Mytilus edulis: one gene and its partners. The protein of the gene in region 1 purifies or fractionates together with the protein of each later gene. This does not show direct contact. Links are inferred from orthologs where the notes say so. Each region holds a gene or a part of one and is shown on either strand. Other genes may lie near its edges. The genes, in order: cytosolic iron-sulfur assembly component 2B-like, general transcription and DNA repair factor IIH helicase subunit XPD-like, F-box/LRR-repeat protein 5-like and threonylcarbamoyladenosine tRNA methylthiotransferase-like.

Region 1 (6,848 bases):
TGTGCTCCAGGTGTTATTGAAACATCTACCTGCAATTAAAAAATTACATGATCTGACAGGAGTGAAAATCTTGTTGATAATTTTTGCAATTTTTCTATTTATCATTGTTTTTCAGATATGACAATCAGATGCTCCACAGGGCACAGCTTTATATGACTGCTAAGGTGAAACCCTGAACTGAGATATACTGTTTAGCTATTAATATTTTAATTATTTTTGTCTTTAATATCTTTTAAGAGAGCAGCAAAATATTCATATGAACCCAAAGCACAAAGTGTATTATTTTCAAATAAAAACTTCTGATACTTTTCTTTTTCTATCAGCTAAATCATTGATACATTACAAGAAACTCATAAAAATGCTATATAAGGTCTTGCAATGCTCTTGCTCCAATAAAAAATCCTCAGCTTACCAATAACAAGGATTTGTATAGTATAGTCTTACTATACAAATCCTTGCCAATAACTTTTTTGAAATTAAGTTTTTTTATTTTTAAGGATGTTTTTCTGTGGCTTTATGTTACATTTTTGATACCTTGAATCTTGGTGGCAGAGATCTTAGAAGTTTAACCCGAATAGACAATCCAATCAATGTTGCCATACTACAGTGTGGAATTGTGGGTGTAAATTCTATCGTCACTTTGTTAGCATCATCATCTACCTGAAAGAAAAATTCACATAACATTATGGTGCATATAATTCTAATGAAATGTACAACTTCTATTCACGGCTGTCTGCTCTTTGGTCGGGTTGTTGTCTCTATGACATATTCTCCATTTCCATTCTCAATTTAATCAATCTGAATAAAGTTAGATATTTCACTATAGCTCTTTTGAGATTTTTCCTGCGACTTGTCTGAAAACATCCAATATGGGAAATCAAGCACTGATTAACATGATTAATGATGTAATGTATTTATAATTATTATTTCCACTTGCAGACTCAAAACAGTCTCTTGAAAATATATCTTGAAGTTATGATTTTATTTCATCTGATTTTAATTTTCTTTTAGATATCTCTTGAATTCAAATGAGGGTTACGGACATTCAATTGCCAATACACTATATTTCTTTTTAGTTCTTAAATTTGTTTATGTTCCCACTCAAGGTGAGTCTTTTTTACAGCAGATACTTTATAAAAGGTTAAATAATGAACAATGTAGCTCAGAAGACAGTTATCCAGAAACACATCACATTATGCTTGTAAGATTAAAATAAATGACATTACTAGCATCTACTGTAAATTCAGTAATTATTGCATGCATTTATTATTGCAATTTTTGTCAATTTAGACTACAATGTGATTTTATTTTTTTGCCATATTGAGAAAAATCCTGTTTAATTTAAGGAAAAATTTCAAAATGCGAATTTAAATTATTGCTATTATAACCCTGTCCCATTTTTCACAATAATAAAATCATCGCAATAATTTCTGAATTTACAGTAATCTTTTTTATTCAGTTGATAGTAATATACTTACAATAACTTTGCTTTGCTCAACAACATTCAATTCCTCTAATGTCAGTGGATGTTCAGGGTCATTTATAACACGGATCAAATCTGAAATAAACATATTATTTAACTATATGCTACAGTTATGGTAAAGATAATTGATTAAAGTATCAATCAGAAATAAAAAATAAAGACTTAGAAATTTGCCCCCTGGCTCAATATGTGAATAGATATAAGAAGCTGTGGTATCAGTGCCAATGAGATCACTGTCCATCCAAGTCACAATTTGTAAAAGTAAACCATTATAGGTCAAAGAACGGTCTTCAACACAGAACTTTCGCTCACAATGAATGACAAGCTTTAAAGGGCCTCAAATATGACTAGTGTTAAACCATTCAAATGGTGAAGTATTGTCAACTATTAGAAGTTGATCAAGAAAGTAATTTATAAATATATATCTTTATGCTTTCAAAGGCATCAACTGTCATGGATTGATTTCATGGGTTTTACAATTGCTTTAGCGACTATAATCATGATAGTGAATGTGTATAGTTGTGAAACTTAAACCTAAACTACAACAAAGTATAACAAAAGAGATGATTTACATTTTCCCATAGTGACCTTTCCATATATCTGTGGAGCATGATAATCATATGATGAGCCTATATATCTCCCAATAGATACAATATCTCAGTGCTTGCAATTGGAACATCATTAGATAGTTAAGAGGCATTGTCACTTCCTACCAAATTATATGTTGAGGAAGAGGTTGAAAAAAATATGCTGATGTATTGCACAATTTATTCTGTATTCAGGGAATTGTGATAATAGTATTACGGAACAAACTTTATTTCCGGTTTATGCGGCAAAATGACAATTATAAAGACGCTTGATGAATTTAGATAGAGCAGAGATACATGGGATCCTATATATGGTAAATGATGTCATAAAGGTGCACATAATCAATTGACAATCTTTTCCAATGAAGGACATAACTGGAAGTAGAAAGTGGTCTATTGAGATATTTTGTATTGTAATGGCATGATAGGGGTTGGTAGTGTTTTTGATGTGTAAGGCAATATGTCGAAGTTAGGAGTCAAAGAAAAAAATTATAATGGCCTTTCAAGACGTCATAATCATTTAATTGGCCTAGGCAATATTATGCAGTGTTTAAGCACAGGCACTCGTCTCAAAAAAAAAATCCTATATACCTTTAGAAAAAAAAATCTGAGACGAGTGCCTGTGTGTTTTATAAGGGTGACAAGACAGACCTGGCAATACAGTTTTAATTTAAATGTTTACTAAAGTTGCAGCTTTAGCAAGTGGTACCCATGACATGGTTCTGATTTAGTCAGCTGTCGTATTATTTAGTTTATCTTACCAAAAACTTCTCTTGTATCTATTTTGTCTGTAACACTTTCATCTTCTTCCTCTGGTAAGACCGGTCTCTCAGAACCAACTTCGTATATTGTAGGATTTGCATTGTCTAAATCATTTTGGGACATTTTGAAGTGAATTTCATGCTAATCCGGAAAAATATTAAGGGGAGTAACTCTGTTCGTCCGTTTCGAATTTTATAAGTTTTCTTTCATTTCCGGGACATTCACGAAATCTCGACTTTTGCAAAATGACGAAAGTTTTCAGAGAAGCCGACGTAAAGAACAACACTGATAAAACAAAGACTCTTATGATCATTCATGATAATGTTTATGATGTTTCAAAGTTTCTTGAAGAGGTAAGTTATGATGGGCAGATGGTTTTAAAGACTTGACATTCACATTGGGACACATAATCATAAAGGTCAAGATGTAGGACGTACGAAACAAAAATTGAAAGGATAAATTATGGACAAATGAAAGAAATTCATCATTCGGCATGTTCAAAGCTAATACATGATAATAATTTTATATTAAAATGTAAATTTTATTGTACTATAATATTCCTGTGTATAATTTATGAATGGGTAAAACTGCAGTTCTGTATCAATCCACATTTTAACCTTTATATACAAGTACCATATGACATCATACTCAACACACTTAAACAAATCTTTCACAATTTAATTCTAAGTTAAAATAGCTATATTTTCCTGTAAAGTTCTTGGTCCCATTTACTATGTCCCAATTTTGATGTTAACAAAATAAAAATTAAAACAAAAATCAACAAAATGTTTAGACTCCCCTTACCGGTGCTTGATAACGAAATAAAGGGTCTAAAATTGAACATTGAATTCTTGGGGTTCTATGTTATGCTGAATCTAACCATGTATTTAGATTTTGGATATTGGACCATAAATAGGTAAATGTCTAATTTAAATTTTTTTGGAAAGATAAGAACTTGTTTTAAATCTTTACTCTAAAGGCACTGGCCTCCCTAACAACACTACAGGTTAGCTACCTTTACTAAATGTTTTCACACTGAAATATAGTTCCCTATAGTTCTCATGTATGTGCACATAATACACATATAAACTGAAAAAAATGGGTATATTTTTGGAGCAGTTCATTTAAGAATGTATATCATTAAAGTTTGTTGATGTGCAGGCTTATTTTAAAACATTTTGATTAGGTTATTGAGTATTGATACAATACTCATATGATTGACAACTGGCATTATCAACAAACAATAAGAGACAAGGTAGACCTTTAATTATAATGCCCCACCTCCTAAACTGTCAATCAAATTGACCACATTACCTTTCAACATCTGTGTTACATAATTATACTCTAATATATATGCAACTCAATATACAAATATTTGACCTCATAATTGAATACACAAATGTGTATATTAGATGTTTGATACATTTATTATTTCCTATTTCTTTTTATCTACATTATGATTATCAGGGATCTCCATGGCCTGTTTAACGATGGCGCCCCGCCATCGTTCAAATGTCTTGCGCCATCGTCAAATGACTTGCTCCATCGTTAAATTGTCTTGCGCCATCGTTAAATTGTCTTCCGCCATCGTTCAAAACTTCATCGTTTTTTTGTAGCCCGACGCCATTTTTTTTATCAATTATAATCAAATGCATGTCATTGCATAACCCTTAGGCTTTTTATGTTATAATCCAATACAGTTCTAACGCCTGGGGGGTATCCGGATTAAGATCGCTAATCACTTGTACCTGAGCTTGTACAGGTAGATCAACAAACCAGACAGGAGAATACTATCTGAGGATAGACGATCCATTTGTCGAATTAACCAAATAAGTTTCAGCAAATGATTATGATAATTTAGATTAAATTAATAAATAATCCAGTTACAAAGAAAACAGTTGAACAAGTCGAACACATGCTTTATTTTGACTTACGCAATCAGCATCCTCCTTTTTAAAGAAGTACAAAATAAGACGCAAAACAGTAAATATTATTTCATCGCAAATAACTTGAGTACTACTGTAACGATAATTTAGAATTACTTTAAAAGTTTAAAAGTAAAAATTTAAATATTTCCTGTAAAGAAATATCGTATCGTAATTCCGAATTCATTTCGTATATTACAATCAAATTGATACATCCGCGTTTCCGGTTACTTTTTTAGACTCGAAAGATGCGGCATGTTGCACAGCATCAATTTGCAAGATAAAGTCATTAAAAACCTTTTCATTTGTCAACATTTGCTTTATAAATCTCTTTAACCTTTTACATAACCCGTACGAATCGTTTTGTTGTTGCTGCAAATCAGCCATACCGGTAATGGGTTCTGAATTTGACAGTGTCCATGAAAAATAAGCTCCACATCATATGATTTTTAACCCCCATAACAATTACCAAAAATACAAAAAATCTACATGGGGACCTCCATGACAGCTTTTGGTCATTCTCAACTAAGGGGGGACCATGAAGACTTGGCATTTGAATGATTAAAAACGGCAATAAATGAAAATATTGATACTTCTAATTCTATAATGAAAATTCAAATAAATATAATTTAAATAAGCAATTGAATTAGCATGTTCACCATTCCCTGTATGGAAGAATAAAATACTTCCGATCGCGCTACACTTTACAGCGTAGTCACGGTTTGTAATGGTGAAAGTTCCTCCATCGTTCAATTTTCATCCATGGAGATCCCTGTGATTACATAAAGTGATTCTGTAAATTATGTCTGAAAGATAAATAATGGAATAACAAGATCTTATAAAAAAAAAAATGAAATATGAATATGAATATATATATATATATATATATAAGATATTCAAGTAAGGCCTATAATTTTCTTAATGAATTTCCAATAAACATCTGTAGACTGTAATTAATCAACAATTTAGATTGGTTCCCTAATTTTTTTTATCAGGATTTGGCTTGAAACAGTTTTAAAATTTTAAAACTTTTAATTATAACAAACCATTGTTTATTTAATTATTAGTTTATTCCCCATCAATCCACATTTCAATAAAAAAAAGTTTTTTTAATTTGTTTACATTGAAAAAGTACATTTTCAATGCCCTGTGTTGAAAAATACTTTAAATATTGAGACACTCTACGACTTTTAATCTTTCAATGTCATATAACCTATGTTTCACAAAACAACATTTTTAGATTATTTTTGTTGACACTTTAATGTTCTTAGCTGTTGGTCTCGATTTTATGTTCAGCACAGGCAACATTATTTGGATAAGATATAAACTGCAGTTTAAATAAAATTGTGCAAGTTAAGAGAGCCGTATTATTTAATTTGAGCTCATTTTATCCTCATACTGGAAAAACTCTTCTCCTTCTAAAGACCTGCTGTAAATGCAATTTTCTCCAATAGTGCTTTATTAATGATCATTTTCCCTCACCATACCTTAATATGAAATTATTCAAACTACTCTTCTAATCTTTCCATGAGTGATTTCCATCACTTTGATTAAGTTTAAGTTCTTAGACCACATTCATTCTGTGTCAGAAACCCATGTTGTGTCAACTATTTAATCACAATCCAAATTCAGAGCTGTATCAAGCTTAAATGTTGTGTCCAACTGTTCATACTTGCCCCAACTGTTCAGGGTTCGACCTCTGCGGTCGTATAAAGCTGCACCCTGCAGAGCATCTGGTTTCATTTTAGTTCATTTAAATGTTTTGGAGTTTTGTATTACGTCCATTTTCACTGAACTAGTACAGATTTTTATTTAGATGATGCCTACCTCTTGATTTGGAATTTTCTTGCTGCATTGAAGACCCATCGGTGGCCTTTGGCTGTTATCTGCTGTTTTGTCCGGTTGTTGTCTCTATGGCATATTCCCCATTTCCATTCTCAATTTTGAAAGTGATGAGTGTACTTGGGATAATATACTCTCTATTCATGTAATTTGTTATTTTAATGAGTAACCACAATCGTAAATAAATAAATATGATTTTAATATTAGTTTCCTGTATTTCAGCATCCTGGTGGAGAAGAAGTATTATTA
Region 2 (7,782 bases), on another chromosome or scaffold:
TTGTCCCACAGACTTTTTTTCCTAGTTAATCAAGTCCATGTCCATGATTTTACTAGGAATATAAGTCCTAGGACAAATGTTCCTAGGAAAATAAGTCCATAGCTAGTAAATTATGTCTGGCAATTGTCCGAAGACTTGTTTTTCTTATAGTTTTATTATATCATATAAAAATATATTTAAAATAGATGAAAAAAATGTTAGATAAGATTGGAAAATTTCCTTATTTTTACATAAATTTTATTTAAAAAATTGATACACAACTCTTTAACAATATTAAAACATACAATGTATTACATTTATATTCACCTTTTAAAATTAAGGGCATGGACATTTTAACCTAGAACTATTAATGACATGGACATGATTTCCTAGGAAAATTAGTCTGGAGACAAATTTTATTGAACAGATTGATACACAACTTTTTCATTTTGTCTTTAGCAATATTAAAACATATTACATTCATATTCACCTTTTAAAATTAAGGGCATGGACATTTTAACTTAAGACTACATGTATTAAGGACATGGACATGATTTTCTTGGAAAATTAGTCTGGGGACATGAATTTTATCAAAAATATAACTATGCAACTCTTAAACATTACTAAGGCCACACCAATTCGATCCCTTGTTTGACGGACCCGCCCGCACCTATTTTTTTCAAAACAGAATTTTTTTATTTTTTTTATATTCCCGCTTCCCGCATCCGGAATTGTAATCATGTCCATTTCCCGCACCGTTTTTTGTTGTTGTAAATATTATAAAAAGATATCAACATTTGTTAAATCACAGTGAGTCTAACCTGTATATAACGATTTTAAACATAAAAGCACCCCACCACACTGTGTAAATATCTGTGAGAATATTTGTTTCAGCATGAAACCTGGAGTGCTCCGATAAAAAGTTATAACAGCGGGTATTTCCGTGAAGAACAAAAAATTGGTTTCTTTCCCCCTTACTTATATTCCCTATCAAAAAAATGTTCGTTGTTAGAATAAAGTACAAAGAACTTCTGAAGGATTTGCCTTCAACTGTAATTATATTGTATGCTGGCGAAACAAAACTATCCATAGTCGCTGCATGTTTATGCACCTGTCCTGATTGATTCAGGAGCATGGCGTTCAGCAGTTATCGTTTGTTGATGTTGTTCATTGGTATTATATAAATTAGATCGTTGGTTTTCCTGTTCGAATTGTGTACGCTAATAATTTTGGGGTCCTTTATAGCTTGCTGTTTGGTCTTTATCAAAGCCCTGTGTAAAAGGCCGTACTTTGACCTGTGTTTGTTATTATCAGGTTGAGAACAACCCTCCCTCAGACAAGGGGTCATTTTACTGATGTAGAAAAGAAAATAGTTCTTCTATACAAAACCTTTGAACACTTAGAATTTTGTACTCAAAAAGAGGAGAGTTACATCCTATTTTAAACATTTTTTCTAAAAGAGGGGTCCACTAATTTTGAATAATATTAAACTGTTAAAGTAAATGTGTTAACATGGTTAAAGTCCAGGAATATTTCTAAATTCTTGGACATGTTTTGACCATTTAATACCAGATAGATATATATTTCTATTAGAAAATATGAGCCCTTTTGTACAAACAAATATATTATAACTTATATTGATCCCTCATAAAACATGTAAAAGGGATATTTATAACATTAAGGGGTTGCCCCAAAACTGATTATGATTCGGATGGAGAATTGTCTCATTGTCAGTCACACATACATAGACCAGATTTAATTATTTCTTGGTGAACAGGGAAAAAATACTTCAGAAATTAAAGAAATGTCAAAGTACAAGTGATAAATCAAGTTTTAATATTGTCAAAACCTATTATTTTATGTTTACAAAAAAAAATTATAATCGCTCGCCTTTACTTTTCAAGCTTCGCCTCAAAAATTTGCAAATTAAATATTTTTTTATTAAAATTTTCAAATCGCTCGCTCACCCCAAATTTTGGAGTCCAAAAATCCGTAGAACAAGAAATTAAATTGGTGTGGCCTAAAACATAACATTTTAAATTTCCATGGTTTGAATGTACATGTAATTGAACTTATTATATGATTTTAAAGGACATGATTACCTAGGAAAATTAGTCTGGGGACATATATTACTAACATCGGACTAAATATACTAGTAAATTCTGTAACCATGGACTTTTTATACTACATGTAGTAATGTTTGTCCGCCCAGACATTTTTTACCAGGACAAATTTATCACTTACATAAACACGAAGTTCAAAAAAGTTCAAAACAATGTGGCTATGTTTTCATGAGACCCGGATAGCTTTAATTTTGTTATATGAATTAATTAGGAACTGAAATTGTCAACATTGTTTTTATTGCACACTAATTGTTTTTATCAGGATTATATAATCTGACAAAGGCATCATTTTTTTTTTAAATAGCCCTTATTACATGTATCTGTTAACCTTTGACACATTGTTTTCTTAGTGGTCAAGTAAATTGTCGGCCACTTTAATTTTCAACTATTTCTGGCAACACTTACATATTGACAATTTATTAATATTTTTTCGTAAACAATATCGATTATTTTGCATATAAACTAATTAATTTAATAATTATTCTTTATTTCGAATCCCCCAATTTTAATAGTTTTCTATCGGCTGACTTGTTTACTTGTTCCAAATGCTAATTTACTACGTGACACGATAAGCTGTCATCAAAACAAAAAATCAGTAATCCCGCTTTTCGGGGCATTTAAATCTTAACAGATTGATCAGTTTCCAGTCCCGTTAGTATAAAATTATAAATAGTCCTAGCTGATGCTGATAAATTATTTTTGCTACTCTAGTTCTCCCTATTTGAGTTTTTTTTAATTTTACACTTCATTCTTCATCTATACTTAATCTATTATGGTATTTTTCTAACAAGTAGGATTTTGATAATTAAGACGTAAAGCATTACTTCATGATTCAACTTTTTAAACAAATGTTGCTGATCATGCCGATTTGTTTTCACCGGAAGTAGTTTTCGGATCTAAATAACTACCTATGTATGTATGTACTGGTAAATGCCTCCGATATCCGAAGAACCCCTCGAAAGCTGCGAGGGTACAGTGGCATCCATGTACACTCCCTAACGGGATTAATGGAGATGTGTCACTAACGTATATTTATACGACAATTATTTTTACAAGGACAACCAATCCCCACCCAATTCAACACAAAGGGAGTGCTAGGACACCGGGAAGTCTGTTATTGTGGTGGAGGAAGCCGAAGTACTCGGAGAGAACCACCGGGCCACTCGGTGGAAACAGACAAACCAGAGAGATATCAGAAGATTGATCTCCAGGTCAAAGTAGGGACACTTTGACCAACCGAGGCCCCCAACGTACCCATTCTAGTTTAAACTCCGGTCTGGGTACCAGAGATGTGTGTGAGAGGGTGAAAATTACCCTTCTAATGTACTGAGATTTTTAGCACCCCGAGTGAGAATCGAACTCGGGACCTTCAGCACTGTAGCCATCGGTCTTAACCACTAGACCACGAACTCACACAAAATACATCCTTTGTTAACAATATAAGGCTGCTGCGGTCATAGAGTGTTGTCAGCGACGTCCGCGTTGTGGCATTTGTTGCATCCGGCTGTGGTCTGTAGTACTTTTCGTTGTGTTTAATGAACTCGTTTAAGGTTCATCATAAGGAATTGAAAAATATGGCCGTGTTTACACTTCCAAAATTACTATGAGTACAGACAAACTGGTACATCCAGGAAAGTTTTAAGGCATGGCAGGAACTAGATATATAAAAGTTATATGAAGTCTACGTTTCAGAAAATTAAAAACTTACCTGGATTTTGATGTTCATTTTTTTCCAGTCTGCAGAAGATAGCAAAATAAACAAACACCCGAGTTTCATTTGATACGGTCCACTCAGATACACAGTTTAAACCTGTTAAATAACCTATTGTTTACAGGTGTCTATTGTCAATTTAAATCAATACTACTCACAACATTGATAATATGAGGGGAGCTTCTCAATCGTTTTCACTACTTAGTTAATTTTTGCACCTTCTGCAGGAACGAAAAAAAATGGATAGCAAAATCTAGAAAAGTTTATAATTTTCTGAAACATAAAATGCATTTAAAATTTATATATCTAGTTCCTGCCATCCCTTAAAACTGTTGCAGGTGTATAGGTTAGTCTGTACTCAGAGTAAAATTTGGGGTGTAAATACGGCCATTTTAGCCAAAAGGTTATGATGAACCTTAATTGATGAAATTAGTTGCATGTTACTGACAAAAATATATCGCAAATAATTTTAATTATGTAGAAGGGGAATTCCATTTTAAGATTGAGTCGATTCTATTTATATCTTCAGGGGGAAATGGTTGGATAATAGTTCATTGTTTTCTCGGAAATTTTAAGACGCATGATTGAATGGGAATGCATGGACATCAAAGATAAGGTAACACCATAGATGTAATATCTATGGTAACACTAATATATTTCTAGATTTTTATTAGTGTAAAAAATGAAGTTTCATTTCTTGCCATATCAATTTTGACTGTGTATACTGCATGAGTGGGTCGTCCAAAATGAACGACTGGAGCAACACAGAAAAACGTTGACTATTACTGGAAAATTATGTATTTTTAAACAACAGTGAATACTGTGGGTACTAAATGTATTATATAATCTAAAAAAAAAAATGACTTATTGAACAGTTCATAAATGGGGTCAAAGTCCATTTACTTGAATTAATTCGAGAAATATGCGGAAGTAAGTCAATTCAAAGGCGGATCTAGAGGGCCCTTGGGGGCCTGGGGCCCCTTTTCATTGGAAAATTTGGTTGATTATTTATATATGGAATCAATCAATCAATCATGACTGGAGCGGACCAACCCAGGTCATTCAGCGACCCCTTTTTATAAAAAGTTCTGGATCCCGGCGCCACTGTTAGCAAACAACACGATTCATTTTAATCTTGTTGAATAATGTTGATGTGATAACGTTTGCTTTGTGGTCTCCAGTATCATTTTTCCCTAATGTGACCTACCGAATTAGAATTATTACCGGGTTTGTACCGTGACATGAGCCACAAGTGAAACAGGATCAATTTACCCTTCCGGAGCACCTGGGATCACATAAAGTTTTTTTCGGGATTCCTGTTGCTGTCTTTAGTTTTCTATGTTGTGTGTTGTGTTTTGTGTACTATTGTTTGTCTGTTGATATTTTACTTTTTTAAGCTATGGCATTGTCAGTTTATTTTCGACTGACGAGTTTAAATGTCCCTCCTGTATCTTTCGCATCTCATTTTAATATAATTCAAACCTTATACTTAGCTATGCATTGACTGCTCTACTTATTTGTACAGAAATTTGTTTGCTGAAACTGAAATAATAAATAAAATAAATATACATGCAAGTTTATGCTCTCATTTTAGGTAATGTGATATTAACCTGGACATGATTTGATAACCATGCGGCAATGACAGAACTTTCACATTACGTGTGACCAATGTTACCTAAGCCTGTAACTCTCATTCCACAAATGTCCTACAATTAACTACCATGAGTAAAAGTAAGTAAACTTTGTTGTTATTTATTATACATATCATATGTGAATCATTTTAGTTAACGCACAAAATAAACCAAGTCAAATCTTAATTACCTATAAATATGATGTATTCACAGAAATAAATGAACTGTGAAGTATATATTAACGTCAATGAGACAAAACTAACTACGAAACTAACTACAAACAGTTTTACCAAAAGGGAAATTCTTATTTGGAAAAGGATTATACGACCTGAAAAGCACAGTAAATGTTTTGTTATAGTTTTTTCGAGATACACTTTACCAGGCTTTATTATCGTTTTGATGAAGACCAACTGGGCTCCTTTTGTCGCAGGTTGTTCCTTTGCTGTTATGAATGACTTTTTAATTGTCGAGTTTAAGCTATGTCTAGTTGTATTTGTTCCTGTCTAACAGAAATTCGCCTGGAAACTTTGTTATAAACAATGCCATAATATGTGTTCCGCTTGGAACAAACATCCTAAACCCTTTTTAACTCACCTGGAATAAAAGGTCAATCAATCACCTCTAAATACTTAGCGCCCGTCGATCTTCGATTGACACCCGTCGTTCTTCGACCGACGGTCCGTCCCCAATCGTCGTCTTGTCCTTCATCCGTCGTCCGTTGTCATCTGTTTACTTTTATAGAAATCTTCTCTAAATCTATTGGACTATATTTAATAAACTTAACCCCAATCATCACTTGGGTATATAGTTTAAAAAAATGTGTCCAATGATCAATGGCCTTCCAACCAAAATGGCCTACATGGCTTAAAATAGAAATAGGCGTCAAATATAAGTTTGACTATTACTTTTAAAACCGCTATAGGTAATGAAAATCTAGCAGGGAAAACATGTTCAGAATGTTGAGCTACATTTATTTTCGTGTGTGTCGAAACTGTGAAACGTCTTCTTATAAGAGTTCTTGCCCTCAAATGATGTATTTTACTATTTTAAAAAATGTTCGTTATTTAACTCGGCAATTATAGAGATTATGACCAGCAAGACAAGATCTACAAACAAGTCAAACGTGGCCAAATCTTCAGTCGACACCTTATTGTCTAATCAGTTATTGCCCTATAATAACGATTTTTGCCTAATTTCTAACTATTAAAGAAAGATAGACACTTTTAAAAAGAAAAAAAAAACAGCAAGATAATAGTTATCAAAGGTACCAGGATTATAATTTAATACGCAGACGCGCGTTTCGTCTACACAAGACTCATCAGTCACGCTCAGATCAAAATAATTATAAAGCCAAACAAGTACAAAGTGCATTTGAGGACTACTAAACAGGATCATGACTTGCAGATTAGAGGAATTTCGTTTTCGTGACAGCTTCACATAAACTCAACGGAAACGCAGCTTGAAAGATGTTATCATATTCTGAAGACACACTCTTCATGTAAAACGCAGATGAAATTAAAAAAAATGAAATATACCGACACCTTATATACATTATTGCCCTTCAACTTTTTGAATTTAAACATTCCCGATGAAGGTAAACCCAGAAAGGTGACACGCACTTAATTTTTATACGACTGCAAAATGTTTGCGTTCGTATATTATGACGATTTATACTGCACTCGTTCTATTTGAGCAGTCATAATGCGTTGACTGTATATTTCTATGTCATATACAGTCACTGACCCGCTATCACTTTTCCTCACGAATATTTAAATAGAAGTTGCCGAAATAATATTTAATTATTCATACGACCTCTTCAACCTGTTCTTGTTTCCCATGCATACAACTATGCATGGAACGACTCAACCTTGTTTCTTTTGCAATTATTGGAAAAACATATTTCATTTGTTAATAATTTTTGTTTGCAACCTATAAATCATTATGTTTTATGCTTATGGTTGATATTTTAGTCCATACTCAAACGATTTCGTTCACCATCGAGTGTGGGTTTCAACAGGTAAATGTACATTTCATTGCGTTGTATATTTCTCCACGAGCATGATATGAGGCCTTTCTAAAGGGGATTTCCCCAAATATTTAAATAAATAAATAACCTTAACGCATTAAACAAATTAAAATGTTTTTCTAGATTGCAGTATAAAGACAATAATAGTACATTGGCTAGAAACATCAACGATATAAGGATTCGGCCCGAAACGGGGAAATAGCTCGGCAGAGCATCGCATTTCCCCGTTTCTAAGCCTCATCCTTATATCGTTGGTATGTCAAGTCAATGCACTATTATTGTCTATATAAGTGTATGGATCTCTTTGAAATT
Region 3 (7,437 bases), on another chromosome or scaffold:
CAGTTTTGAGAAAGCAACTGAACAATATGGTTACATATTTCCATGTATAATGTAAATAAAACTAACCTCCGTGACGCAGTTATTTACAGTTAAGTTGTCAGACTTTTTGATCTGTATCAGCGGCTGCCGACACTGCCGAAAGACATTTTTATAGCAGACATCATTTATTATAAAGAAAACAGACAAACAAAATACAGATTTTGAGAAAAAAAATGTTGTTTTGAGAAAGGTAGGTTAACTTGTTTTTTCCTATTATGTGAGCAACATTATAACGTTTAATAAATGTTATATCAGCCATTTTCTTAGATTTAAATAGTCTACAACACAACTTGTGTAATTACGACGACAATTATAACTTTAACAGCGGTTTATGGCAAACATTTTCAAGATTATTTAGGACTCATCAATGTAACAGAGGTTATGCAAATAAAAAACATCTAAAGATGCATGTAAACACGATCATACCAATTGAAATTCTTGTACATTGTTATAGATACCAAATCAGTTCATCAATTATCACTAATAAAAATCAAAAGGTGATGTCAATCATAGACGACATCACTGATTTACGTTACGGAGGATAGAAATTTAAGGAAAAAAAGTTTTTTTTCTCTAACAGGACTTTACTCTTTTTTAGATAACGATTTACTAAGAAAAATATTTAATTCTGTTGTCTTGTTTGTCATTTAATTCCAATATTTACATTCATTTATATGTTTGCTGTTGGTAAGAACTGGAATTGTCCGTTATGGAGGTTTTAAATGTTGTAACGGAGGATAGAAATTTTCGAAATGAAACTATTTTGACTAGTTGAGTATAATACATACATTATGGTGTGAAGGAAAATGACATTATCTGTATAGAGCTAATAAAATTAAGTTGAACAGTATTCGGTTTAGGTAAAACATATTTTTGAGTGAAAGTTCATGAATCGTTACGGAGATTTTGACAAGAACAAGTCCATTTGACTAAAAGAAACATATAACTTGATATCATAGAAAACAGTTTTTTAGTTTGTAAATTCAATGAATTGTTTAGAAAAGCTAGCATTAAAGAGTTAAGTGTTACTATGTATCAGCATTCAGATACTGGTTTGATATCAACCTCCGTAACAAAGATGGGATTGTGGATTAATACAAGCATAAAAAATACATACAAGTGATTCAAAACATAAATAATAGGGTTTTTCCTGGAAAGCTGTATTATGAAACTAAAATATTATACAGCATAACATTTCATTAGTTTAAATTTATTACTAAATAAGTTGTGAAAACTACTTGAATTATTTTTTAAACACTATATTAATTCAGACCTTAAAATTGGTTTTTGCTTTCAATATATACAGAATAATACGTATAAATCATTTTGCTATGGTGGTAAATGTAACCCATTTCACATGAGCCTGGATTTAAATCTTGTGTTTTTCTCTAATGCAATTTTTAAGATGACTTTATACAACACTAACCTCCGATACGTTCATACTTACCTTGTCTTACAAAAAATGCTAAAACTAGAAAACAACTAAAATGGTGTAAGTAAAAATAAAAACAAGAGTGGACACGCTGAAATGTCTCGCCTTCTATACTAATCATTGATATTATGTTGATAGTCCTAAGTATAAAGCTAAGCTTTAATACAACTGTCACATAAACTTAACATTAACCAAGATAACTAAACAAAAACCAATGAACCTTAAAAATGAGGTCAAGGTCAGATGAACCATGCCAGGCAGACATGTACAGCTAACAATGCTTCTATACAACATATATAGTTGACCTATTACTTATAGTTTAAGAAAAATAGACCAAAACACAAAAACTTAACACTGTGCAATGAACCGTGAAAATGAGGTCACGGTCAAACAAAACCTGCGCGACTGACATAAAGATCATAACATATTTCCATACACCAAATATAGATGACCTATGGCATATAGTATTAGATAAAAAGACCAAAACTCAAAAACTTAACTTTGACCACTGAACCATGAAAATGAGGTCAAGGTCACATGACATCTGCCCGCTAGATAGGTACACCTTACAATCATTCCATACAACAAATATAGTAGACCTATTGCATATAGTATGAGAAAAACAGACCAAAACACAAAAATTTAACTATAACCACTGAACCATGAAAATGAGGTCAAGGTCAGATGACACCTGCCAGTTGGACATGTACACCTTACAGTCCTTCCATACACCGAATATGCTAGCCCTATTGCTTGTAGTATCTGAGATATGGACTTGACCACCAAAACTTAACCTTGTTCACTGATCCATGAAATGAGGTCGAGGTCAAGTGAAAACTGTCTGACAGACATGAGGACCTTTCAAGGTACGCACATATCAAATATAGGTATCCTATTACTTATAATAAGAGAGAATTCAACATTACAAAAAATCTGAACTTTTTTTTCAAGTGGTCACTGAACCATGAAAATGAGGTCAAGGACATTGGACATGTGACTGGCGGAACCTTCGTAACATGAGGCATCTATATACAAAGTATGAAGCATCCAGGTCTTCCACCTTCTAAAATATAAAGCTTTTAAGAAGTTAGCTAACACCGCCGCCGGATCACTATCCCTATGTCGAGCTTTCTGCAACAAAAGTTGCAGGCTCGACAAAAATGACAGACTAGATATAGACACAGAAGAAAACAACACTCTCTCTCTGCTCAGTTGAAATTTATTTTTTAACAGTGTCTACATTTGAATTGTTCCCATTTTTTGGGAATGACTATTTAGCAAGTTTTGCTGAAAATTATGTGGTAGTGACTTTTGGTGTTTTTTTTTTTTCTTTTTCGCTCTGTTCATTAGTCATTGAAACGACAGCAGTAATGATTTTAAGAAAAACAATGATAGTATTTGGGATTTTGTGTGTACCATGTTAAGATATTTTTTGACCAATTCCTTCATTCGAGAATGAGGAATTGTGAAAACATCGACTTCTTCAGGACAATTCGGCGCCATATTTGTTTTTCTTTTGACTCTCACGTTTTCTCGCGAGATGCGAGATTGTGACGCCGGGTTGCTATAGGAATCTTAAACGCTCGTGCAGTGTCCCGGTAAGTTGTCAAACAGTGATACGAAGTGTAAAAATTAGTTTTTGAAGTTTTTGGAAAGTGAATAACCAAATACAGACATGGCACGGAACTATCCTGCCAATACACAAGTCCAGAAATTTTTGGAGGAGTCTTACAACAAAGAAAGAGACACTAGACTTCAGTGGTATTACAAATTAAGGGAAAATTCGGGAGCCAACATTGGTGCTTCAAAACAATCTGAAGTTGCTAGAAGAAAAATACAAAATGCTCCCAAACCGGCCGAGGACATGTTCAACAAAATATCAGGTGATTATGCTCCACAACAATTCAACAAAAAGAAGTCGAACTTTGAAGATTTACAAAACGAAAAATCAGAAAAAGGACTTGCGCAACTTGTTGCAGAAATGCGGCCGGTGGATTTGAGAGTCAAGGAAAAGTTATACGACGGATTTACAAAGGAAGGAAAAGGACGATATCAATATCTACATTCAAGGTACAAGGACAGTCCTGAAGATAAGTTTTCTTTCCCACTTCTTAGTTCTTGGGAATACGGTTGGAGACTTGGGGATGTCATTCCAAAAGAAGACATTAAAAAACCTCAGCACGGGCGTACAAAAATTGTAGCAGACACTTTTTATACCCGAACAGGAATACCTGCCAATCCACGTGTAAGTGTATAAACTCGATTTGAAGGCGAAAATTCGAAAAGAAACCATTCCGCATTTCAATAACTGTGATTCTTTTGTAAAGTCAAACTCTCGTTGCCTAGTGCATATTTCACAATAATAACATTCAGAGTAATTACACTCAATTGTCATGTAGAAATAATTAAATGGTTATGGATTTTAATCAGTTGTGTTGCGAGGAGATTTACATGTAGTATTATTTCATTTGCTCAAACACTTCACAGCTTGTGTGCTCATGTGTCATGTTTATTTGTTTATGCTTTGCATGTTTCTATAAACTGTTTAAGAATATTTGAATCGTTTTGCTGAGAGTATTGTATACTCTAGCCCTTACCAGTGCCAGTCCGTCCAGTTGGCAAATTTGTACATAAACATTTTGTATATATATGTACTTTGATTTTATACAATATTTTTATCATTTCGAATATATATTTTCCAATGTTTCATATTCATATTAAATTTTTGTTATTGTGACACTCTGCATTATTCTTTTAGAAATTTGCGTTTATGAAGAATACAAAAATCGAATTGCCATTCAGCTATAGGACCCTTTCAAATGAAAATTTATATCTTTGGCAATATGTCCACATTCAATGAATAGTAAAAATATAAATTCCTGCGTATTGCATACACGTTACTATCATATTGTGTATGTGATGTTTATTTCATAATGCTATAAATTAAAATAACTTTCTTATCAGTCGCTTAGGTGCAAATCATAGGATTACATTGTCAAACAAATCGATTCCTTTAATAAGATGGAAATCTCTCTTCGGAACGATATTGATTTAAGGATCTGAACTTGTTTCATGTACCTATGTTACCTGCAAAAAGCGATAGTTCATGAATTTTTCATCTGACACAGCGTATTATTCGTTCAATACCTACCCGATTAATTGTAAAATATCTACTCCATTTTTATTCATAGGTATACAAGGAAAATACGTGGATTAAATACGCTATTTTGAGTACAGTAAAACTACAATGTTTTACCAACAATTAAAAAAGTTGATTTGATGAAGGATGGGCGGACTTTCAGGGCATAAAAATATGTGAAATAAATGAACCTGTCGTTATTTCCAAACATACATAAATACTGACTCGCCATGAAGTTGTAACAAAATTAGTATCACTGCCAATTTGTTTATTTGAGCTAGTCTACAAGAAGGGGGAAAAGTATAAAGCTCGTAACAGCTTGTGACTGTTTAAATATCTCAATGTTATATGTATCCTTGTTTCTTGTTGCAGTTTACTAAAAAGTTTAAAATTTGATGAGTGTTGGTTGCTTTACAGTTAAAATCATAAGAAACGGTCACCGTGATGATGATATATAGTCAGAATATGTATATAGATGAATGTAAAAAATGTATTGAAAACTGAGGTCGGGATTTTCTACGTTTGTTGTCATTCTCGGATATGATTTGTTCTCATTTCGAAGAGTTGAAGGTTTAATCATTGATCGACGGCTTGTAATTCTCAGTTTCAGATTGTACTGTACCCCCCCTCGTCGCGTGTCAGACTGGTGGATCGTCGGCAGTTATGACAAATATGTATATCAACATCAATCAACACGACATTTAAACTTTGTTTACAGCACAATTTGAATGCACATCAAAATCAAAGCTCAGTCACAATAATTGAACGGTAAATAAAACTAATTAAAAAATTGGAAATTACCCAAAACGCCACTAGTCACACACTAGAGCACACAGTCAGAGATGTGGTCCATTGAATGATGGAGAGAAAATAGGAATTTAAAGGGTGTACCGACTCCTTTGAAACAAATACACAAAGTAGCACTCCATTAAAGAAGTTGGAACTTAAATTAGTTAAACAAAAATTACATTTCTTTGGGTGCACCAGTCAAGTTATTTTTGTTTTAAAATGTGTCATGTTTGTAAATATCTGTAAATATCGTTTTTGGTCCTATCTTCCAAAAGATTACCTCTACTGAAAGTAACATTCAAATAACCGATGGCTTCAAATTAGACTTACTTCCGACTTATTTATGTATTTTAAGAAACTGGTTTTTTTTAAACAGAATTTCTGCAATGCCATTCAAGAAATATATATTTGTAGTATATATGTTTTGTCAGAAATAACTAATTCATTGAATGATCAATCATCGGAATCGGGGAACAACCGGTCCCTTTTAAAGACGTATTTACACTTGACATTTTTATCACAAATTTATTTTAATTTTAGAAATAATATTAAATCTCAGACATCGATTAAATTTCAAGATTTCTGTTTGTTTATTTGATAAGAAACTATAAAGTCTATATTATGAACGGTCACTCCATCGACTATCTAATCTATGAAGAGTCTCAAAAAAATCTAATGTCCCGGATACGGGTAACAAGTTGTACTGATACTTAATACAACAAACATTCAATGGGCGATTGTTTGACTCTTACACCCCGTGCGAAATTCTTTTGGTTTATCAACTTGAAGCAAAACAAAGTGTTTCCATTGTTGTTTTTAACCAGGAGGGGATATCCCTCTTTTACCATCAAGTATCATAGATAAAGCGACATCATGTCATATGTGATGACATTTAGATAACCAAACTGTGTATTCAACTTATAAAATTCCAAACGGATTCAAGCAACACAACGAAAGAAAAACATCTATTTGTTAATATTCGATTAAATCCACCTTTTTTAAGAAAACTTCACCATATAACACTAGTTAATATTAAAAAAGAAGTATGCTTACAAAATTATCAACTTATTCTACATTGGTTCATTCGGGACAAGTGCAAAAATACAAATATTGACAGCACATTCCTTTTCAAACAATTTAAAATTTAGAAGAAGCTGTTTTATATTTTCCCAATTGCGATGCAGTGCTGCTGTTTTATTGTTATCTTAAATGAAAAAAATGCAGTTATAAGGTGTCTATATTGTCGTTCGAAAGGGTCTTAAAGTCACAAGTCCTGCTGTACCAGATCTAAGAGGATAGTTTTTGAGCAAACAATTTTCGGGTCATAGTATACTCTCTACGGAACGAAAATCAATACATAATGCAGAACTAGTAACAACCAAACCCATTTCATTGCTTCATTTCTATACAGATCTACATATCATCGAGTTAAAACATTTAAGACGGAATGTCTAGTCTCTCAACAATAAGAAAAATATACAATAAGAAAAACATAAAAACAATTCAGCGAATTTCAAAATAATCCCGAATATAAAGCATCATCTTCTAATGTATGCAAATCCTCGCATCTTTACTGAATACTAAATTGATTTATAAATACCACCTCCATCGTTTTTGACATATGAACAATTCAGAATAAATCTAAACCTTGTTCAGGACATAAAATGGTCTTAGGAGCACACGTATATTGTATCTATCTCTGTGTGTGTTTATTGGTTACAAATATTTAAACATGGAATTAAGTCAATAAATTTTAAAATATACCTATTCAGTACATATTAGTATGAAAACCAACCTAAGTATAATGGATCTAACGGGATTTCAATCGATCTATAGAAGTGGCCGTCCAGACACGTTTATGAAAATGTTTTAAATTTTAAATGGTCTCAGTTTATAATAGGTAAAATATTTCTAATTTAAATTTCAAGCTCAAATGACCTAACTGAATATAAAAACAGCAAATGATGTTTGCACCCAATATTGATCAATACACAAACATTTAAAAAGCAATTCAATGTAATTCGTGATGAAGTTTCAT
Region 4 (7,377 bases), on another chromosome or scaffold:
AACAACTTATTTTGCCGAAAGTGAGAATGATTTTAAGTACGTTCCTTGAATAAGAAGTACATGAAGAGTTAAAAAATTATTTTTATCAATTAACATTAGTCATGCCACCAGCTTAAAAATCAATGCTTTAAACTCTTTATGCCTTGAATTTCTTTACTTTTAAATAAAAAAAATGCTATATCATCGACTTAGTAAAAATTGAATATTGCGGATGACGAAAGCAACGGAAAACAAGTATCGTAAACAACAGGGCGACTTGTTTTTGCTTTTGGGGGTCAGGCAAAGCAAAATGAAGGACGGGAAAGCTACTTCTTTACCATTGTGGCCTAAGCCCTGATAAAGTGCAAAAACAATTAACGGTAGGACAGTATTGTTTTTCTTTAAATATTTTTAATGCCGCAAATTACAAAACGTCATTTTGGGTGAACACTACTGGTTATTTTTAAAAAATTCAACAAAAAACATAGCGCCAATTTTACATGAAGGCGACTATAACGCTTGAAGTTTTCAGACATTCTGGAGTTTTAAAGTGGATATGTTTTGGCAAATAGCAATTACTTGACACTTTCAAGTGGTTATGAAATTGGTCACTTTTAGGCGATATCAACTTTTTTAAGATACATTTAGGCAAAATAAATGTATTTAGACTTTTGGTATTTAGCTGAATTTTGCCTTAGAATAACCTTCTGACGTCAAGCAACAATCCCTTTAAATTGTGACGTGAAATGTTTTGAATTGTGATGTCAAAGTTTACCGGAACCTGTTTGATTTTTACGTAATAGCGGACAAACTTGTTTACAAGTATAAATACGTCTATAGACATGTTTGTGAGAAACGAACACGGTTTGGGGGATGTACATGTTTGGGAACAGAGCTCCAGATAAGAATTCCCAAATTGGGGTTTTTACCCCTCCATTTTTTTTTTAATTGAGTGAAATAGTTTTTCAATTGCATTATTACATTTTTTTTTTGTAATTCCAAGTCACCCCTCAAGCAAATATCAAATTGAGGTTTTCACCACCAAGCTTCTTAATGTATTGGGTTTTTTCATTTACACAATATTGAATGTGTGTGTTCACTCATCAACTAAAATGAAATATATACATATGTACTATATATACTCTTGAACTAAAAATAAACAATGTTTTTGTATAATTTTATTAACATAAATCTGGATTTACAAGGGTTTTAGTTTTAGTTTTGATGAATTCTAACCCTGTTATTGTTAAGTCACGCAAACCATCCTGGACGCGCCATTGCACGACCCTGTGTGTTCAAGGGACGCTTCCTGACAACACTAGCTGAGTCTTGTTATTATCATAATCCTCTCAAAAGGAAACTAAAACATGCTTCTATTTAATGTTTTTACCGGAAATTTACTTTTGTTTTAATTCATTGCTAAGTGGTTTGTTAAATCCTGAGAAGTACGGAAAGAATTATGACGACATGGCTTACGCTAATTGGATAAAGACAGAGAAGATAGAAATGTTTCCTCACCACAAGTACCTTTTAGCATTGGAACATTTCAACAGGGACCCTTTCAACAATCTATTTTTTGAACGAAAGGACATTTCCTGATTTTTAATATTACAAAAATAGATCTATGCGACGACTATGGAATAGATAAGGGTAAATAACCAACACTATAGCGACAAAAAGCATGAAGAACTTATGGTTTTAACAAATTATTGGGTTTTTCTTTGCATGAATTGGGGTTTTAGAACTCTGCAATGGGCAATTGCATTGGGTTTTCAATTATTTTTATCGTGTGATCACGCAAATATGCAGCTTATCTGGAGCTCTGTGGGAATGTTACAATGTACATATGTATCCTTGTTTTATGGGTGTTTGAGCTATATAAAAGCAATGTCGTGTCTGTCACATTTTCCAATGAAAAAGCATGCATAGTATGACATAAGACTTACGAAAATATAAGGTCTGACGATAATGTCATTGGCATTGCACAAAGAATAAACAATGATTTGGTTACTCAGATTAGTAATCATGCATATACAAAACTACAAAACAATGAATAAGACTGATTAACAAATCCTATTTAAAAGACTTTAAACAACACCTGACTCACATTAAGGAACGAAATCAGGGCGAAAGTGATTATAAAAAGATAGATATTTTCAATGCACTTGTTTCTGTCAATGAGGGGTTTACTTTTCACAACCGTACGAAAAATATGTGTGTCAACCGTGCTAAATTATATGGGGACGAAGTCCCCAATTACGGTAGAAAAATTTAAAAAAAAAAAAAAATTCGGGAAAATTTCCCGAATTTTTTACTGTACTAATGAACTCAAAATTGTTAACTTTTTTTTCAGATCTACTTCCGTTTCCGGTCTTGTTTGCATGAGACTTTGAATAAAATGTATATTTATCAACATATCAACAAATATAGGAAGGAACTCAACACCCAATCATTTTTAATAATTGTTTGATATGAAAAAAACGTTACCTGGATAACAGCGTTTCTTTGTTTACATTGAATATGACGTCATAACTTAAACAACGTCACAACTTAATCCCTAACAACAGAACCAACATCGGAAACGTTACGGTATTTCCGTTTCTTTTATCAACATGTTTGAATTAAAAAAAAAATTACAGACTTCGTCCCCAATCACAGGAAATGCCTGCCTCATATTAGTAAACCCCACATTGACAGAAACAAGTGCCTGTTGCACTTGCTTTTACAAGCCTGTCTACCTTAAGGTTCATGTGGACCCTATGGCTAAAATGGCCGTATTTTCACCTCAAAATTTACTCTGAGTACAGACCATAGGGTCCACATGAACCTTATATGTGAACCTTAATATTAAACATATTCCGGTGAAAGATTCATCAGCTATTTCACACACAAATAAATACTTTTAATTTAAACCTACTGATAATCTATGGTTCAAACTTGGTTCTAAGGAACACTTCTCATTTCTTTCATCAACTTTTTCTGTTGAAATTTCATGCAACCGGAAGCACAACGTGAATCTCTGATTTTAACCTTCAAATTAGAGAGCTCTTTGTATCACATGAAAGTGAAAGTAGAGTCCCACAATGACAATTAGCTGTAAAGTAGCAACAGAGTGTTATCCTGTGTCACAATCAAAGGTTTAACTTTCAAGAATACATGTTACATTCATTTATTCACTATTCACCCATGAAAACATCCACAAATGGAGTCACCCTCTTTAAATAAAGTCATTCAAGGCCGTAACTACCCTTGAGGCAAGTGATGCAATTGCCTCACTAAAATTTCGACACTGATAATTTTTTTTATACATATATATAAATATAATAGTCATTTGTTGTTCTGTCTCAACCTTAATTTCTACAACTTGTCACCATTCCTTTTAAACTATTCTTCCTGGATATAACTCAGCATCTCTACGGGTGATGTTTCTCGATTACATTAACCTAGTAACGATAATCATCATGGATCTCTAGTTAAAAACAGGCTCTTGCAGAAAAATCTAGAAAAGCGACACTGAAGGTAAAGAAGGAATAATTCTAGTAAACTAGTTTTTTTGTGAACAGAGTCTGAGTATTGCATATAACTTCATTAGAACAATCCAAAAACGATAAGTAGACTGACAAATCAAGTACTGGTCTTCGGAAGGGGGCAGTCCTGTCTGCGTATTCATTTCTCCATTTCACCAACTTTTGACAAATAAAGTACTGGGTATCGCAAGGGGGCAGTCCTGTCTGCGTATTCATTTCACGAACTTTAACCTTTCTCTTTACAGATAAATAAAATATAAATAATATGAAACATGCATGGATTAGTTTTTATCCATGTTTCTTTAACCTTAAAAATTGAAAGAATATCCATATTCCAATTTGATATTATTGAGGAATTGTAGAACCGTTAACACAGGATTTTGTCTTTACTTATTCGGGACTAGGGAATTTCATTTCTTTATATTCTGGGTTTCGTAATCGTACACCCCCAATCCTAACCCCTAAATTTATAGATTCTGAAACTAAAATATCTCCAACTATTTCTAGAAATAATTTGAAATTATGGACCTACATGTAAACGTCAAAAACTCCATTCCAATTCCCCTGTACCCATATCATGTATACTTACTCTATAGATAGAATCATATACATGTATCTTATCTCATTCTATCCCTAGTTTGTCTACTCTTTGTCAGCATAAAAGCGAGTTTAATATTTTGTAACTGCAACTGTATGATAGTGCTTACAGGAAAGCTTAATTCCCTTTTGGAAACAAAACTGTTACTACCGATGCTGCTACCGAATTGCTGATGGAGAAGGAATTGTAAGAAGACATTGATCATTGTGTTGATGATAATGTGCTACCTTTTGAAACACAGACTGCCCTGAAACGACTGAAAACTTGGCAAAGAGCATGCATGAGTGGCGAGAGATTGTGCGGTCTTGCCATGCTCCATTTTCATCGCGATAAGGATATCAGCAGACCAAATTATGATTCTAAAACGATTTGACTGAACCGGCCATAGAAAACTTTGGCAAATTCTACTGAATCGATGTTTGTTCTATGATCTGGCAGCAGACTCAAATCAGTGATATTTGGATGATTATCTTACATATACATTTAAATAAAGTTGTTAAAAATTTGGTGTTAGTAAAAGTCTTAAAATATGAAAAATTTATATAAAAAGTGTCCAAATTCAAAACATTATCAAACTCTCTAAAAATGCTTAGAATGCAGGATTTTGCACCATTCATTTCATACCCTCCAAAAAAAATTTCGCCTCGCTTCGCTCGGCTCAATTATTTTGCCTCACTAAAATAAGATGCCTAGTTACGGCCTTGTCATTACAAAATTTTATCCCAATAAAAGTTGGCCATGTACATTTAGCTATATACATGTATGCTAACAATTTAATTTCCCTTTTTACTTTGGTTGTTGGCCATGTACATTTAGCTATATACATGTATGCTAACAATTTAATTTCCCTTTTTACTTTGGTTGTTGGCCATGTACATTTAGCTATATACATGTATGCTAACAATTTAATTTCCCTTTTTACTTTGGTTGCTGGCCTGTCCATCTGGCTGTCCGAATAAAAACTTAGTTATTTTGGCATCTACAAGTTAGGAGGATCTCACACTGGTACCCATTTATGAGGGTTGCCACAGACCTCCCAAATCTGTCCTATGAAGGGGATAATTGAATGTGTAGTCTTCAGTTTTATAATATGTAGTTTAAGCAAATAAGCAATTTTTGATTCTGTCATATACATGATTTAGCCATTTCCTATTTGCCAAAAGTTTGAAACTGCCAAATTGCCCCTCACGAAACCGCCCAACTTTTTCACCAACTTGACCACTCTTGTTTTCCAACTTGTCCACTTTCTAAAAAATCACTCCACTCTTTTCACCAACTAACCCCACTCACGAAGAGCGTTAAATCCCTGTTAACTAGCCCCAATTAAGAAAAAGGGTAAAATCCCAATAATTTATGATGAATTATATAAAACAGAATTAAAAAAAATCACATGTGATACTAATAAAAGTTGAAAATTTATTCTTATACATTTTTATGATGTGCTTCTTTCGCTTTGTAAACAAAACTGTGATAAAATTCTCGATATATCTATACTTAGCAAAGACTCAGAGATATACATAATAATGGCTGTTACAATATACTTCCCACGTAAATCTACATGTATTGGAACCTATTTGCAGACCCTTTGCCGATTTTATTGATTTAAAAAGTGCAATTAAAAAAAGACAAAATAACTGTTATTCTTATTAGGGTGCAAAAAAAAAAGCAGTAATGCACAAGAGCTCGGAGAAATCAACAAAATAAATATAAGATAAAATTCTGTGCCAGTCTATTATTTTTTTTGACGCATTTAAGTCCAATTTCAAAACATGATGTCACACAAATGAAACCGCTAAAGTTGAAAGTTTTCTGTTGCGTGAACCATCAAAATTCGTATGTTATTGTATTAAAACTGATTTTTGAGATAGGTTTTGTTTTATTTTCAAATCTATTGCATTATTTGCATATTTACTAATTTCAGCAAGTCAACATGGTGGCTCCTTAGTTACAAAATGTCAACTTTTGATTTGGCGGAAGCTTACGAGAAAATCATGTAAATTAAAAATGGCAAATGTTGGGTTTGAGAATTAGAAGAGTTAAACAGTTTTTTTCTAGCGGTTATTCATGAAATAACCCATGCAAGCTACGGATTTATTAAAATATTTGAGCTTTATCTACTTGAACAAGGAGTAAAAAAGATCAGCCACACACACACAAACCAACCCTCACTTCTGTATTTTAATGACCGTATTTGTTCCATTAGAATCAAAATAATTCATGGAAGCCATTGTCAAGTATTAGCCGCTGTACATTTACTAAGTAACTAACGTCACTAACGTTACCTATTGTTTACGTTGCCTATTGTTTTACGTAACGTTGCCTTGAACATAACTTGAATACAATTTGATATGAACACAACGCCTTTCATTACTAACCCTTAAGCGAAGTACTAACCACAAGAAACACGATACACGATATTGGTGCCTGACCCATGGAGAAATTAAAAGCAATTCGTGGTGGTCAACGTAGTGCAGTTACAAGATTAATTAATAGAACAAAGGAAAGAATTTCGCAAGATGATATCGAACATGAAGAACTTTCGGCTGCCGCAGACAACCTTACAAAAAAGAGGAACCTGCTTGAATCTTTAGACTCACAGATCTTAGATGGAACCGAACTAGAAGACATGGAACAAGAAATTCTTGACGCGGACGATTATGCAATGAATATGGAAGTCGCCATTCGCCGATTCAAGGACATAGTTACTGGAAACAAAACAACCCAATTTCAGCAAACGGTGAGTGAAACAACTTATGTTCCAATAGCCAATACACTTGATTCATCAAATTTTCCGTCAACAAGTATTGCAAATCATAATTCAAACCATTCAGAAAATGTATATACCGTAGATAATAGCTCCGTTTACGAATGCAAACCCAACAACAGCAACAAACTTCTATCACAAACTACCTAAGCTTGATTTACCGAACTTTACGGGAGATATATTAACATGGCAGACATTTTGGGAATCGTTTGAAACAACCATTCATCACAATCCCTCTTTGACAAATATACAAAAGTTCAGCTATCTCAAATCTCAGGTACACAGTGAAGCCGCACAATGCATATCCGGTTTATCTCTATCAAACGCCAACTATGAACACGCAATCATATTGTTAAAGGAGAGGTATGGACAGACACAAACCATTATAAACGCATACATGCAGAATCTACTTGAACTTACGCATCCGTCACTTACGCCGCACAGCATAAGAGTATTTTACGATAAAATGGAATCGTGCATAAGGGGATTAGAGTCGCTCGGACAATCGT

What was found.
Region 2: the proteins of cytosolic iron-sulfur assembly component 2B-like (region 1) and general transcription and DNA repair factor IIH helicase subunit XPD-like purify together in Homo sapiens (affinity purification with western blotting; 3 studies listed by BioGRID and IntAct, with this or other methods). This does not show direct contact. The link is inferred for Mytilus edulis from reciprocal best matches to the Homo sapiens genes CIAO2B and ERCC2.
Region 3: the proteins of cytosolic iron-sulfur assembly component 2B-like (region 1) and F-box/LRR-repeat protein 5-like purify together in Homo sapiens (affinity purification with mass spectrometry; 3 studies listed by BioGRID and IntAct, counting the BioPlex papers as one, with this or other methods). This does not show direct contact. The link is inferred for Mytilus edulis from reciprocal best matches to the Homo sapiens genes CIAO2B and FBXL5.
Region 4: the proteins of cytosolic iron-sulfur assembly component 2B-like (region 1) and threonylcarbamoyladenosine tRNA methylthiotransferase-like purify together in Homo sapiens (affinity purification with mass spectrometry; 3 studies listed by BioGRID and IntAct, with this or other methods). This does not show direct contact. The link is inferred for Mytilus edulis from reciprocal best matches to the Homo sapiens genes CIAO2B and CDKAL1.

Annotation. Positions count from the first base shown.
Region 1 is NC_092348.1:64,362,749-64,369,596, forward strand, and holds the start of cytosolic iron-sulfur assembly component 2B-like, read right to left. Parts: upstream 3,005-6,848; 5' UTR 2,956-3,004; coding exon 2,832-2,955; intron 1,559-2,831; coding exon 1,479-1,558; intron 661-1,478; coding exon 535-660; intron 30-534; coding exon 1-29. Other genes in the region: cytochrome b5-like, read left to right, coding at 3,078-3,185, 6,822-6,848.
Region 2 is NC_092346.1:11,156,876-11,164,657, reverse strand, and holds the start of general transcription and DNA repair factor IIH helicase subunit XPD-like, read right to left. Parts: upstream 3,011-7,782; 5' UTR 2,932-3,010; coding exon 2,927-2,931; exon of another isoform or gene 2,809-2,926; intron 1-2,808. UniProt on the Homo sapiens protein: ATP-dependent 5'-3' DNA helicase. Component of the general transcription and DNA repair factor IIH (TFIIH) core complex, not absolutely essential for minimal transcription in vitro.
Region 3 is NC_092344.1:83,470,707-83,478,143, reverse strand, and holds the start of F-box/LRR-repeat protein 5-like, read right to left. Parts: upstream 3,003-7,437; 5' UTR 2,975-3,002; coding exon 2,888-2,974; intron 1-2,887. Other genes in the region: protein SPMIP1-like, read left to right, coding at 3,147-3,728.
Region 4 is NC_092344.1:115,480,865-115,488,241, reverse strand, and holds the start of threonylcarbamoyladenosine tRNA methylthiotransferase-like, read right to left. Parts: upstream 3,002-7,377; 5' UTR 2,897-3,001; intron 1-2,896. Other genes in the region: uncharacterized protein, read left to right, coding at 3,063-3,116. UniProt on the Homo sapiens protein: Catalyzes the methylthiolation of N6-threonylcarbamoyladenosine (t(6)A), leading to the formation of 2-methylthio-N6-threonylcarbamoyladenosine (ms(2)t(6)A) at position 37 in tRNAs that read codons beginning with adenine.